Linked DNA regions of Schizosaccharomyces pombe. Changing the gene in region 2 together with the main gene of any one other region gives a genetic interaction. Each region holds a gene or a part of one and is shown on either strand. Other genes may lie near its edges.

What was found. Genes that interact genetically often act in the same process or in processes that back each other up.
Region 1: mutations in SPOM_SPCC965.13 (region 2) and bit61 together harm fitness more than expected from each alone (negative genetic interaction), as found in Schizosaccharomyces pombe (one large-scale study listed by BioGRID).

Annotation. Positions count from the first base shown.
Region 1 is NC_003421.2:1,609,532-1,614,429, reverse strand, and holds bit61 (Protor homolog, Bit61), read left to right. Parts: upstream 1-1,666; 5' UTR 1,667-1,865; coding exon 1,866-3,134; 3' UTR 3,135-3,383; downstream 3,384-4,898. Other genes in the region: arg1 (acetylornithine aminotransferase), read left to right, coding at 1-1,106; alpha-1,2-mannosyltransferase Omh3, read right to left, coding at 3,404-3,935, 4,016-4,620. UniProt on the Schizosaccharomyces pombe protein: Component of TORC2, which regulates multiple cellular processes to control cell growth in response to environmental signals. TORC2 is required for cell survival under various stress conditions.
Region 2 is NC_003421.2:2,307,926-2,316,106, reverse strand, and holds SPOM_SPCC965.13 (pyridoxal family membrane transporter), read right to left. Parts: upstream 4,609-8,181; 5' UTR 3,628-4,608; coding exon 2,014-3,627; 3' UTR 1,707-2,013; downstream 1-1,706. Other genes in the region: SPOM_SPCC965.14C (cytosine deaminase), read right to left, coding at 817-1,305.

The DNA.
Region 1 (4,898 bases), 700 kb from region 2:
ACATTGACTTCACCTCTGGCGTAGCTGTTACATCTTTGGGTCATGCTCATCCTGAAGTTGCTAGACTTGCCGCTGATCAATGCTCCAAATTAGTCCATAGTAGCAACCTTTTCTACAACGAGCCTGCCATTGAGCTATCTAATGTCATTAATAATTCTTTGGCAAAAAATAGCGGTATTGCTGGCCCCACAAAAATTTTCTTTGCCAATTGTGGTACTGAGGCCAATGAGACAGCCTTGAAGTTCGCTCGTAAGGCAGCGTTTGAGAAGTATGGAGAAGGGAAGAGTCAAATTGTTTACTTTAATAACTCTTTCCACGGCCGTTCTTTGGGATCTCTTAGTATCACTGCGAACCCCAAATATAAACGTGGTTTCCAACCATTACTTCCTGATGTCGTCCAAGCCGTCTATAATGACCCTGCATCCATAGAGCAATTTGTCAATGACAAAACTGCGGCTGTTATTGTCGAGCCCGTTCAAGGTGAAGGTGGTATTTGTCCTGCCAAGCCTGAATTTTTGATTGCTTTGCGCAAGGCCTGTGATAAGGTTGGTGCTTCTTTAATCTATGATGAAATTCAATGCGGACTTGGTCGCAGCGGTGATCTTTGGGCCCATAGTATCGTTAAGGATGTCGCTAGTCCCGATATTATCACAGTTGCCAAACCTTTGGCTAATGGTCTACCTATCGGCGCCACCATTGTCTCCAGTAAGATCGCTGCTGAAATTCACCCTGGTGAACATGGCAGTACTTTCGGAGGTAATCCTGTTGCTTGCCGTGTAGGCACATTCTGTGTTAATGAATTAGGGTCATCCAAGATTCTACAAAACGTTAGAAAGCAACACAAGGCTCTTACTTCACGTTTTGATGACTTTGTTGCCAAATACCCTAATCTTATTCGTGGATATGCTGGTCGTGGTCTTCTTCTTGGTTTGCAATTTACCGAGCCCCCTGCTAAATTTATTGAGCTTGCTCGTCAACAAGGTCTTTTACTCTTACCAGGTGGAAACAACAACACCCGTGTCCTTCCTAGTTTGAATGTTAAAGATGAGGTTATTGCTAAGGGTTTGGATATCATGGAGAGCACTTTGAAGGCTTTAAGTAAGTAAAAGTGTATGTTTTCGTAGACTTGGTCATTGAATGGATTGGTTATATAGTGCGATAAAAAGTGATTATTACGAGAAATCTTGTTCCTCGAAAACATATATTAACCTTGCTCTCATTTGCCAACCAAAAAATTTTTTGATAGGGGGGTTACGAAAAGCTTAGCTGGAAGCTTTACATTGTAAATACTGGTTTTCGTTATTCCCTTTCTTTTCATAATCAATTTTGTTTACATTTTTTGTTAGAAAATTAGATATATATTGTTGTTTTTCATCTACTAAACTGAATTGTCGTAATATGTACCGTAAATACTCTGTCAAATGATAGTAATTCACAAAATCAATGTTTTTTTACTGCGTTTTCTATTACTAACTTTTAAAAAGTTATATAGCAAATAACATTCCATGTTTTCTTTTAGCATTAACTATTTTTTTCTTTGGCATACAATTATTATATCAACATGCTATTCATTCAATTCACATTAGAACGATATCGTTATAAGGAATTCTTAATCAATTTTTCGTTTCTATATTTTATCTTAATTTAAGGCGCACATCGATACTTTAGCAAAATACCACCATATTCAAAAATAAACAAAATTTTTTATCTTTCTAAAAAATATCATTTTTTTAAGTAAGTTTAATCATTTTATAATGATTGAACAATGAATATCATCTCATGCTTATTTTGAAGAATCGCATTTCGCGTAACTAAAAGCAAATTTCTTGGATACCCTCAGTACATTTCCAAAAATATTACTAAAGATGGTAGGGAGGGGATCTTTTTCATCTACCTCGAGCGCCTCATCCATTAATTGGATTCCAAAAAACACTAAAACTAGCATTGAAAGTGTTTCTAACACTATTTCGTTGTCGGAAAATGGGCAGAACCAAGACTTGGAGACTGTTACTACTAAGGAATCAAACGTTGGCGACTCTGACACGACTGAAAACATTAAAAGTCCGTTTAATGGACAATGGCCATTTAGCAGAAGATCTAGTCAAAGTAGCAGTCATCCGGTTTTTGAGGAAACACATTGGAGTAAGCATTCCAAGCGCCCAGGAAAGTTGAACGTTTTAACGCCTACTAGCCCTTCTAATGTTAATGCCGAAGTTCAAAGTATTTCTACGAAAACTCAATTATCGCTGCTTAACCTCTCTCCGCATAAGCATAAAAAGCCTAAAGATGGTTTAGATCTTTCTGCTTTGCAGAAAACGCTCAACGGGTCTCGAAATTTCTTAAGAGGAAGAAGAGACGCTGGGGGAATTTTTGGCGCTTCCATCCCACAATCACTTGTTACAAATCAAATAATCAATGGCTTCGGTGCAGCCTCTCTTGCATTTGCTAAATTGGGCAAAGTTCGCTCTCCTTTAGAAGGTCGCTTTAACCTGGTTCCCATATCCGCGGATGAAACTTGGCTTATTGTGGAATCCGAAGTTTGTAGTTTATATTCGGGTGAGGCTTTGCACTATTCTCTTGAAGATTTGAATGGAATTCTTATATTACATTTACAAGCTCTTATCCGTGATACGAAGATGAATGAGTTTGTTGGACACTTGGAGACACTATTCCGTAAGGCTACCAAGTGCCTTTCGGACAGTTTATCGCCTGTTCCAGAAGAATTATTTTTGAATCGTATCATAGAAACATGGCTGTTTTTCTTTTCTTCCGTATTGCCATACGTTCAAGGTGTGTTTTTACCTATAAAGACAAAATTGTTTGATGAACAAGAAAAAACACAATTACCCTATGAAGTAAATGAGTTTTGTTCCACAAATAGGGAAAAACTAAATGTCCATCGTCTTGCATTGATGACATTTCGCGATTATATGGTTTTGCCAATTGCAAATCGGATACAAATCTGTATTGGGCGTGCCGAATCTGCTGAAAATGCTTTAGATAATGCAGGAGAGGTGTTCGCTCGACTGTTTCAGATATTAAGTTTGTTGGCAAGTGTACGAACGAACGATTCCAAGGAACAAGAAATTACTAATTTGGCAACTAAAGTCAGATGCCTGTTGATAGCTTCCTAAATTCATTCTTAGATTTTTTATATTATTTTTCCTTTTTAAAATCGTTTCAGTTTTTTTTTTTACCTTCTTATTTTATAGGGTCCACACTTTTCAATATTTGCAAATTGTTCTAAAACTTAAAAAATTTGTGTCAATACTTGATATTCCCAGTCTTTTGTTTTCATCATTAGTTAACGATCAGCTTTTGTTTATGTCCACAATAAATATGTTTTTAAAACAAATATCAAAAATAAAATAGGTAATCTCGGGAATTACAAGTAATATGTATTTTAACTATTGATGTTTTCTAACCATTTAATAGCACAAGAGAAGGGTAAATAATCAATCGTACCAGTCGGATCGCATAGACATCTAGCTGTCGCATGCGACTGTACATCCGTAGGGCAATGGTACCAGGGTAAATGGTAATAACCAAAGTCCTCAAAGTAATGTATTTGCGATTTGTTCAGAAATAGCGATGCTGCCAGTGAATGTACGGGAGCATCCCCCCAGCGCTCGTAAAAAAATCCATAATTTTTATCTAAGTGCGCAAAGTAGTCTGTGTATGCAGGACTTCGAAAGAAATTTAAATTGGCAATTTCAAAATTACTCCAAAAATGGCAGAGATTGTAGTCACCACTTAACCCCTGGTGGTCATTAACGATAAAATCCAAGGAGTTATTTTGTGCAAGATATTGTGGGTTTTGGTGAATAAAATCTCGAGTAACGTTCCATAAAGAAGGGAGGGTTTCATAATAATCCGTCATTGATATGACAAACCCATACGCCTTATTCTCGTCACTCAACTTTCGAAAAGGATCACTTAAAGAATTGGTTAGTGACAAAATTCTATCATATTACAAAAACAAGAGTTAAATAGTCAATTTTTCTTGTGCACTTACTAAGGTATATCGCAAGAATATTCAACGCCGGGTTCAACGCGCCAGTAATAATCATAATGTGAAAGGGCTTTGTTTCGATAAAAAAATCCTGAATTGAAGCGACACATGATCCGATAACTCAGTGAAAATCCATATATTACTTTGTCATCGGTCATATCCCGAATTGATTTCAACATACGATTTAAATCGATGTTTATAGGAATTCCCCACTCTTCGTTGTTGAGTTGGACATAGGTAGCATCCCCACTCACCATTTTTGAAGTAGCTGTTATAAATTCTTTAGTAAAAGGGGCATCATTCATAAATGTCCATGGGTAATGATAGCGATGATTGAACCGATCCTCGACGCTTTGTATGGAAACAAGAGCGTCCTTAATGTCTCTATTACGGCAAAGCATAAACAAAGTAGCGTTCATATTGGGCTGCTTAGGAAAATAATCTGAATCTGTCAAGGATGACTCTCCTCTTTGCTTTGCTGTGGCTTTTTTTAGAAATACATACTTGACTTTTAGTTCCTTAGGCCCATCTTTAGAAGACTGTAAATAGAATGAAATAATGCAGAATAATAGTATACAAAAATAAATTGATGATTTGGGTATGCCCATGTTGAAGTCATGAATATGGCCCCCTTATATTAGGATTTCTTATTAAATCGCGGAAGTTTTTTTTTTATTGATTGTGAATGAACTTTATAACATGGTTCGATTGTGTAAGATACGCCAGTTTGCAATATTTTCGCAAGCAATCAATCTGATATGAAATAACTCGTTGGACTAAATCAACATTAGATTTGTAAACAATCAGTAACAATTTTGGTTTATAAACGATCATTTGGGAATGTTTTAAATTTCAGCTTTTGCTAATTCCAAACAAAGTCTTTAGA
Region 2 (8,181 bases):
CAGTAGGTAATAAATCTCTTAGAGTTGTAGTTTGATGCTACTCTGTTGCAAAAAGGAGTGACACTTCCTTTTAATATGTGGAATGTAATAAAATTGTGCGCGCTTGAGTTAAGAGTTCAAGTAAGAATGCAAAAGCAATTATGCTTTGAAATTGTTTTGAGACTTGGTCATTTGATTTAATTAATTTATCTACTTTTTAGTAAATAAATATTAAATAGCACAAAAAAAATGATTATTCTTGGTAAATGATTGATTCGTGAAAGTAGGGTTAAGTGATCCCAACAAGAGTTATGCTGAAGACCTTCATTTTTTGGATAATTTTCGCGTGTGTAATAAACACTAAACTGTTTCCATTTTCTAGGAGGATTTAGCAATAAACTGAGAAATTTAGTCCAGTCAGATTATATTTACCATACCATTATACACTTTCTTTTTGGTGATATGAGCAAAAAACCCACTTTGGTCACTAATGATTTTGAATAGGATCATAGGCATTCGGTTGAACAAAAGCGGCATTAAAAATTTTAATTTATAAAACGAATTAATCTTGTAACTTGCCTGAGGCCCGTATTGATATTTGTATACCATGGCAAGAAAGTAAATATTGTACACGAAGATATATTGCAATTTGAGCATAGAAGTAATTACAGTTTTAATTACTAAGAAGTTCAATTGGAGGAAATAGAATAATTACATTTGTTCATAAACATTGAACAGAGTCTACCCTACTAGCTAGCAGAAACGATAAAACGTGTGGACGTATTAGCAAAGTTTCAAGGAATATGCTTTTGACATTAACATATGAGATTGAAGCAGCTATCTTCCTCCATCCCAAAAGCCTTTATGAGGGATAATAGCTTCATCTTCAATGTAGGGACCCACCACCTCAATAGGATGAGAGGCAGCTCCAAGAATATCTCGTGAATTAATGTATAAAGGCGGGCACTCACCACTTTTCTGTGTCAGTTTAATCAAATTTTCGTTCGATAAGCCAAAAATCATTCGGCGAATACCAGACCAAAATATAGCACCAGAACACATGGCACAAGGCTCCGTGCTGGTATACAGAGTACACTTCTCAAGGTCTCTTCTTGTCTTCGTAATCAAACCTACGGCACGGGTCTCAGCATGTTGAGTTACATCCCCGTCTGGAACTCGATTTCCCGCAGACATAATAACATTGTCATTTTCATCAACAATAATGCATCCAAATGGATGTTGACCTTCATCACGAGCTTGCTGAGAAACTTTGATGGCCTCTCGTAGATAAGCTAAATCCTTTTCTGAAAGTTCAGTGCTGGACATATTGTATGTTAAAAAAGAGACGCAGGTTGTGTTTTGACTATATGTATGTAATTTATAAATTGTGTTAATTTTTCCAACTACATGTTCAAAGAAACGACATGCTATCTATTGCTACTTGGAATTCGGGAATTGTCGATGAATCGGTTGACATCGATTATGATCGCCGTTCTGGAAAGACAATGTAGAGCAGAAGAGGTCAGCTCAGTGTCTGAAGTTAATACATCTACACAGTCGGTCTACGCTAAAACCATCAATGCTGTTTCGGTCGTCCAGAATACATGGGGATTGAAACTCGCATTTCCAGTCATCATTAGCCGATTAGGAATATAATACTACATAATCTATTAAACATTGCTATTTTGCAAGTATAAACTACTGTGCGACTAAAAATTACGAGTGCTATAAGGCAGCTTTTTAATAAACGTAACTTTTTAAGCTATATTTTTTAAGACGACTGTAATTTCAACTGCAATAGCTGTAGTAGGACAGATTTCAATTAGTAAACAATAACTAGTACAAAAAAGGTAGAAAAGAATAGCGAATTATCGACAAAAAGAAGTAGATGCATATTGCCAAAAAAGAAGGGGTACATACATAATCGGGTGTTCACAGTAAAAGGAAAGTTGGATGAGTGTATATCAATACGAACATAACAACTTTTACATATGCTAACATGAATGATAAAAGGGAGAAATGATGGAATAAACACTACACTTCAGGTAAAACCTTGGCATCATGTGCTTCTTGTAATGCTTGTTGAGTAACGGCAAGTCGACTGTGTTTCCGAATGAGATGACCAAAGAAGTAAATAACATAAATCGTGGCCACAAGCGACAAACTAATAAAAGCCAAAGTTGCCATGGCCCAAGTGGTAGTCATATTGTCAAACATGATAATACCAAGATGTACAAGAACAGCAGCAATAGCAAAACTTGGTAAAGTGAAAGCAGCGATGGCGGAGCCAGCAACCGATGGGTAGGAATCAGTAATATAGTTAATCATGGCAAGCCAAAGTTGAGGATCACCAACACCTAAAACACCACCTGCAATTAAAGGACTTACCCAAGAAATTCGGCCATCTGAAGTAAAAGCGAACCAAAACAAGCCTGCTGGGAAAAACCAAACGGTAAGCAGAGAAATCAAGAAACGTGCTTCTGGACGCGCTACACCTCCATGACGCCTTTTATCCCAACGATAAAGCCAATTTTGAATGGGTTGAAGCATAACAACGATGGTGACACCAACCAAAAAGTTCAAATAAGTGAGATTTGCACCCATGTATCCCATTTTGTAGTTGTCGACAAATACGGGAAACAGTCCATCCAAGTAAAGGAAAATCAAACCATACGCAAAGCCGTTATACAAACCCAAAGCCATAATGATAGGCTCTGTACACAAAAGTTTAAAAGCGGTGGATAAGACAAATTTTGTACGAACTACAGCTGATTTAGCTTTGGCAAGAGTAGAGACTTGAACGGTTTTTTCTCCAGTAGTAGAAGAATAGTTCATGATGTTGATGACAGGTAAGGTCTCAGGACACAATACGCAAAGAATTACAAAGAAACCACCAACAATCATATTCATCCAGTAAAACCAACGCCAATGATCATAAAGAGCCTCACCAATGGGGGACCCAATAGAGGCACCTGCATTTGCACCCCAAACAAATAGAGAGATACCAAAACCGACGGTTTCAGGAGTGAAGATATCACACATACTACTTGCAACGTTAGCGAGAGCAGAACTACCAAAGGCACCAGCAATAGCACTGTTGATTGCCATCATGGGTAAGTTATAAGCAAGGGCTTGGGGAATTTGGAAAATAATATAAAGAATTAGAGAGCCAACATAAACCCATTTACGACCAAAAATATCCGACATGGGACCTAAAAGCATGGGACCAAAAGCATTACCGACAATGAAAAGACTTTGTACAAGATAGGAGACTTGAATACTGCAATGCCAATTAGTTTGATAAATATCAAAGAAGTTGATACAGGCGGTGGATGACCAAATGACATATACCTCTAAAAATGTGTAAACGGTAGCAACAAACAACTTTTTCCACAAGGGCCATTTATGAGGATGAGCGGGATGGTTGGGATCAATGGACATAAGAGCCTTTGTGAGATCCCAAGCATCAACATTTTCCACCGAGCCCTCTTCATCCTCCGACATACTAGGTGACTCATGTTTCTTGTCTTTGGCAGAAGTCTCTAGTTTGTCTTCGGTAACGATAGTTTGCCCGGTCAATGGAGGCTCCTCTTCAACATTCTGTGGTTCCACGTCGTGATGGGAGCGGATGACATTAAGAATTGACATCGTGTATCAAAAAATAAAAAAATAGAATAAGAAAAGACAGCTAGAAGAAAATGAAGAGTATGCTGCAACGTACGCAGTAACAATCGACGCAGAAGCAAAAATGGGAGGGGAATTAGGAAGAAGAAGAAGAAAAAAGAAAAGGAACAGAAATATAATATATGTATAAAAATCTATATGTCTTATAAACACAGCAGGAAGAATTAACTTGCTATGTAAAAGTTTGTAGGGAACGAGTTCAAAATAGGTAAATCCAAAGCAGATAAAAAAGGGGATCAAGACAGTATAGAGAATTTATAAATAAAATAAAACTAATCAATGATGAAGAAAATGGGAATGAAATGCTTATCGACTCTTGTTTTTTTTTTTTAAAGTGAAAAGCAATAATTGAATCCAAGGAAAGAATACTAAAATTATAAAGTAGAGGGTATAGGGTATTTAGTATAGTATAGAAATGAATGGCCCAAAGAAAAAGTGGATTGCCAAATTAAAAGAAGAAGAGTAAAATTAAACAAATTGAAAACGATAACTAATTATACACACCACAAAAGATACACACACACACACAAAAAAACCCACGCACACAGATACACTCACACAAGCAACAGAAAGACCCAAATAATACAAAGTATGTCTTGAATAACAGACGAACCGATAATCGCTCTCACACAAAGTCCGTTGGGTGAAATAAAATGGGGAGTGGAGGAAAAAGAACAAAATATTCTTTTTTGCTTTATTATTTTTGATTCTGTTTTTTTCTAAACCAAGAAAACAACAACAGCCCTGATCCCTTCTTATTACAAAAGCTAAGCAATCAATTTGCTATGTCCTACTTTTTTTTCCGCTGGTTTTCCAAACGCAATTCGCAACTCAACAATGCCGGTCAATATCGTTTTATATGAAAAAATACGCAGTCATCGAAGTTTCAGATACTTTTGCTTTTGCAATAGATATGCCTTCAAATCTTAGATAAGAGTAGAGGACAAAAAACAATTCTATGGTACAATCATCCTGACCCTACTATTTTAAAGATGAATCTAGCCACCCCAGTCCAACGTAACTACCGCCCCTGCTACCTTGCCGATGCAAATGTGAAGATTGCAGGTTAGGGGAAGGAAACACGTTAGAAAAGCTTATCGTTTTTCCGGGAGCAAAACGAGGAAAAGAGGAAGAAGAGGAAAAACAGGGTAAAGGACGTCGGCAGGGCAGCGGGAGTAGGGCAGCAAAAAGAGAAAGGAGAAAAGAGAAAAGAAAGAGAGAGAGAGAGAAAAAAAAAAAAGGCAAGAGAAGAGATGAGTAAAGTGGATAGAAGTATAGTAGAAGAAGAAAAAGAAAAAGAGGTAAATGGTAATTTTAGAGTTAAATTGTAAATGTTTTGATTATTAATTCTTTCATTATATATTCTTTTGTTATTTATTTTCTCTTTACTCTTTTACTCGTTCCTCGTTAAATTTCTCAAAATGTTTTCTCTCTTCCGCTAAAAAAATTTTCTTCTTCTTCTCGGTTGGCCATTTTCTTTTTTCTTTTTCTTCTTTTTGCCTCCAATCTCTCTTTGCTGAAATCATTTGATTTTCTGGGTCAAATACATTTCCATTTATTGGTTCATTTACTACGATTATCAGTCTCTCTTCCATTTTGTTTAACAAGCTTATACCTCAATTTACGAACCAACCCAATTTCACTGCAGTAACAAAATAATAATATCACACATTTATTACATCCCAGCAATGCGTAAAATCCGGTACTATGGAGTATATTTTTAATACAAGTATATCGGGCAAGTCAAGAAGCAAAAACAAAGACAAAGAACAAGACACTATCTAATCATTACTGATAAGAATGAGATTTTTTTTATGTCGTTACACACACCGTTTTCGTATTCCACTGCATTGCTTTTGCTTGGTGCTTTACATCCTCGTTTCCCTGTGCGGTTGCATTCCACGTGCTAGAGATTAGCGAGTGGAAAGTGACAAGCACACTAGTCCGTAAATTCGTATCATGGAGAAAGATGGAAAAGACAAGGCCCATTCCATTCTTTTTGAGTCTATATACAGGATGATGGCTCTAGCTATCAAATGAATGAGTAAGATTTGTAAGATGGAGATAGGTGTAGGAAGGATTGGGTTGGTGATGAAGGGATGCGTAAATTGTAGACGTAAAGATGTAGGATGAAAAATAAAATGGGATGAGAAAAGGCTAAGGTCGACACTATGTTTGTCATGGGTTGAATAGGTCAATGAGTTGAATAGTCAATGGACGATTGACTATGCACAAAAGCACCATTGATTGTTTGAATTGATTTATCACAAAGATGATTGATTCATCATGTCTTTGATTTTATTTTACATTTCAAAATTGTGTGGTGCTATAACACACCTCTCTTTTCCTCCTCTATCGCATTACTCAGTTCTTCTCTCTCTTCCTCGTCTCTCATCGCTATTTCCTTTCAGCTGCTCTCTCTCTTTTTCTCTCGCTATCCCATTTGCGACACCCTCGGCTTCGTTGTCATGAGGGAATTCCTCGGACACCCGGTCCACGACCGGCAAAGACTTCGGCAGAAACACGGTATTCCCGAAACACTTCCTCCGCATTTTTCTTTCCCCCCTCACCCCCACATAGGAACTTTTTCAAAGTTGTAGTCAGTTCCTTTTAGCTAGTAGCAAAGTGGTTCATGTTTGCAGTCGACTGGGGGACATGGGTCTATGTGGGGGATGTACATTTACCAAGATGGCTGGCATCTACGGGAAAAGGTAAGCCAGCCAGGCAAAGAAAACAATACTGAGAAATCGAATAAAGGGTGAATCTGAAAAGCACATACAAACATACGCAACCCTTAAGGTTTCCTTGTTTGTCCTTTTTTTTTTTTTTTTTAAGATTCTATTTTCTGTTCTCGTTATTTAATCTATTTATTCAATTTATTCATTCATTTTTTTGTTCCATTTATTTATTATTCATTCATTCATTCATCTTTTTTTTTAATTTCCTTTACATTTTCTATGCGATCCTTGCTTTACGACTTCTTGTGCTCCCTTTTTGACATGTAAACAATGTGATTGGAAAAATCATCCAGCTCCGGTAAAAGTGGATCGCATCCGTTTTCCTCTTCACAACTTGAAATCGTGTTCAATAAGTTCTAGATGTGACCTAAGGAAAGAAAAGCTTTAAAGTATACAATTGACCGATGCACGAATCGCTTCAACAATTTTTAAACGTGTGTAGATCGACTTTCCTTCTTAAACTATCATCTTATATGTACTTACTCAAAAAGTAATTCATAACTAAAAACAAAAATTCTACTGCCGACAATGCAACAAGATGGATTTGTTGAGAATTAAATTAGCATACATTTCCTCCTTACATACTTCCTTAGCCATGTCTGTGAAAAAGTAGAATATGTATAAAAATGATCTGCAAATATGCAACTACAAATGAACATGTTATACAAGGGGAAGCCAAGTCAGGCCTTGTTGCATGGTATAGCTAGCTTACCTGCCAATGTTTCTGCAACTCAAAAGAAACTATTTGGTAATTACCATCTATCGTTTATTTTTTTCTCCACATCAAATTAGTCATCCCGCATCTAAAATCCGTTTTAATATTTTATTGCACAAGTCATGTGATTAAGGTGTCCTTTTGAACATGTTTGATACGTTCGTTCAAATGATTCAATTAGCTATCTTTGTTTTTTATAATATGGTCCGGCTTTATGCAATTTGGACTCTTTATAAAGATAAGACTATTGACATATGCGACTTTTTCTCTTTTGAGCATGTATGCAAATTTACCGTTATAAACGTTTTTTTAAGACATGCAAGGAAAAAAAACCGTAAAAAAGTAAAGTAAAATAAAATAAAATGATATAAAAAAAATAATAAAATTAATTTAAATTAAAAATGCGAATAGATTGTAAAAAATAAATAAAATTTTAACAGATGAAAATAGAACAAATATATTAATTTACTTTGTTTAAAAAAAAATTTTTTTCATAATCGATATGATGTTGCAAATACTTTTGGTAAAATAAAACGTAGTAAAAAATATTATCAATTAATCGAATTTGATCATTCACAAATTTCATGCTCAAAAGTCTACACTGACAAAATGTCGTCTTCATTATTTTACTTTTTCTTTTCATTAACAGTTAATCATAAAATTTTTCATAAAATTACCATATAATTTACTATTGTTGAAAAACATTGTCTACGGCCATACCTAGGCGAAAACACCAGTTCCCGTCCGATCACTGCAGTTAAGCGTCTGAGGGCCTCGTTAGTACTATGGTTGGAGACAACATGGGAATCCGGGGTGCTGTAGGCTCCTTCTCTTATTATTGCTATTTTATTTTTTTAATTTTATTGTTTAAAGATAGATTGTGGGCCTTATGCCCTGTTAGCTTATTGACAAAATCATGTATGGTTCAGTACTTTGAATCTCTGTGACTTTCGAACAAATCATTGCTTCATTGCTTACAAAGTAGTAGATTGATAAATTGCATCAACATATCAAATTCTCGCATGCTTCTTTTTCTTTATTTCATATTTCTCTAATTGTCTTATT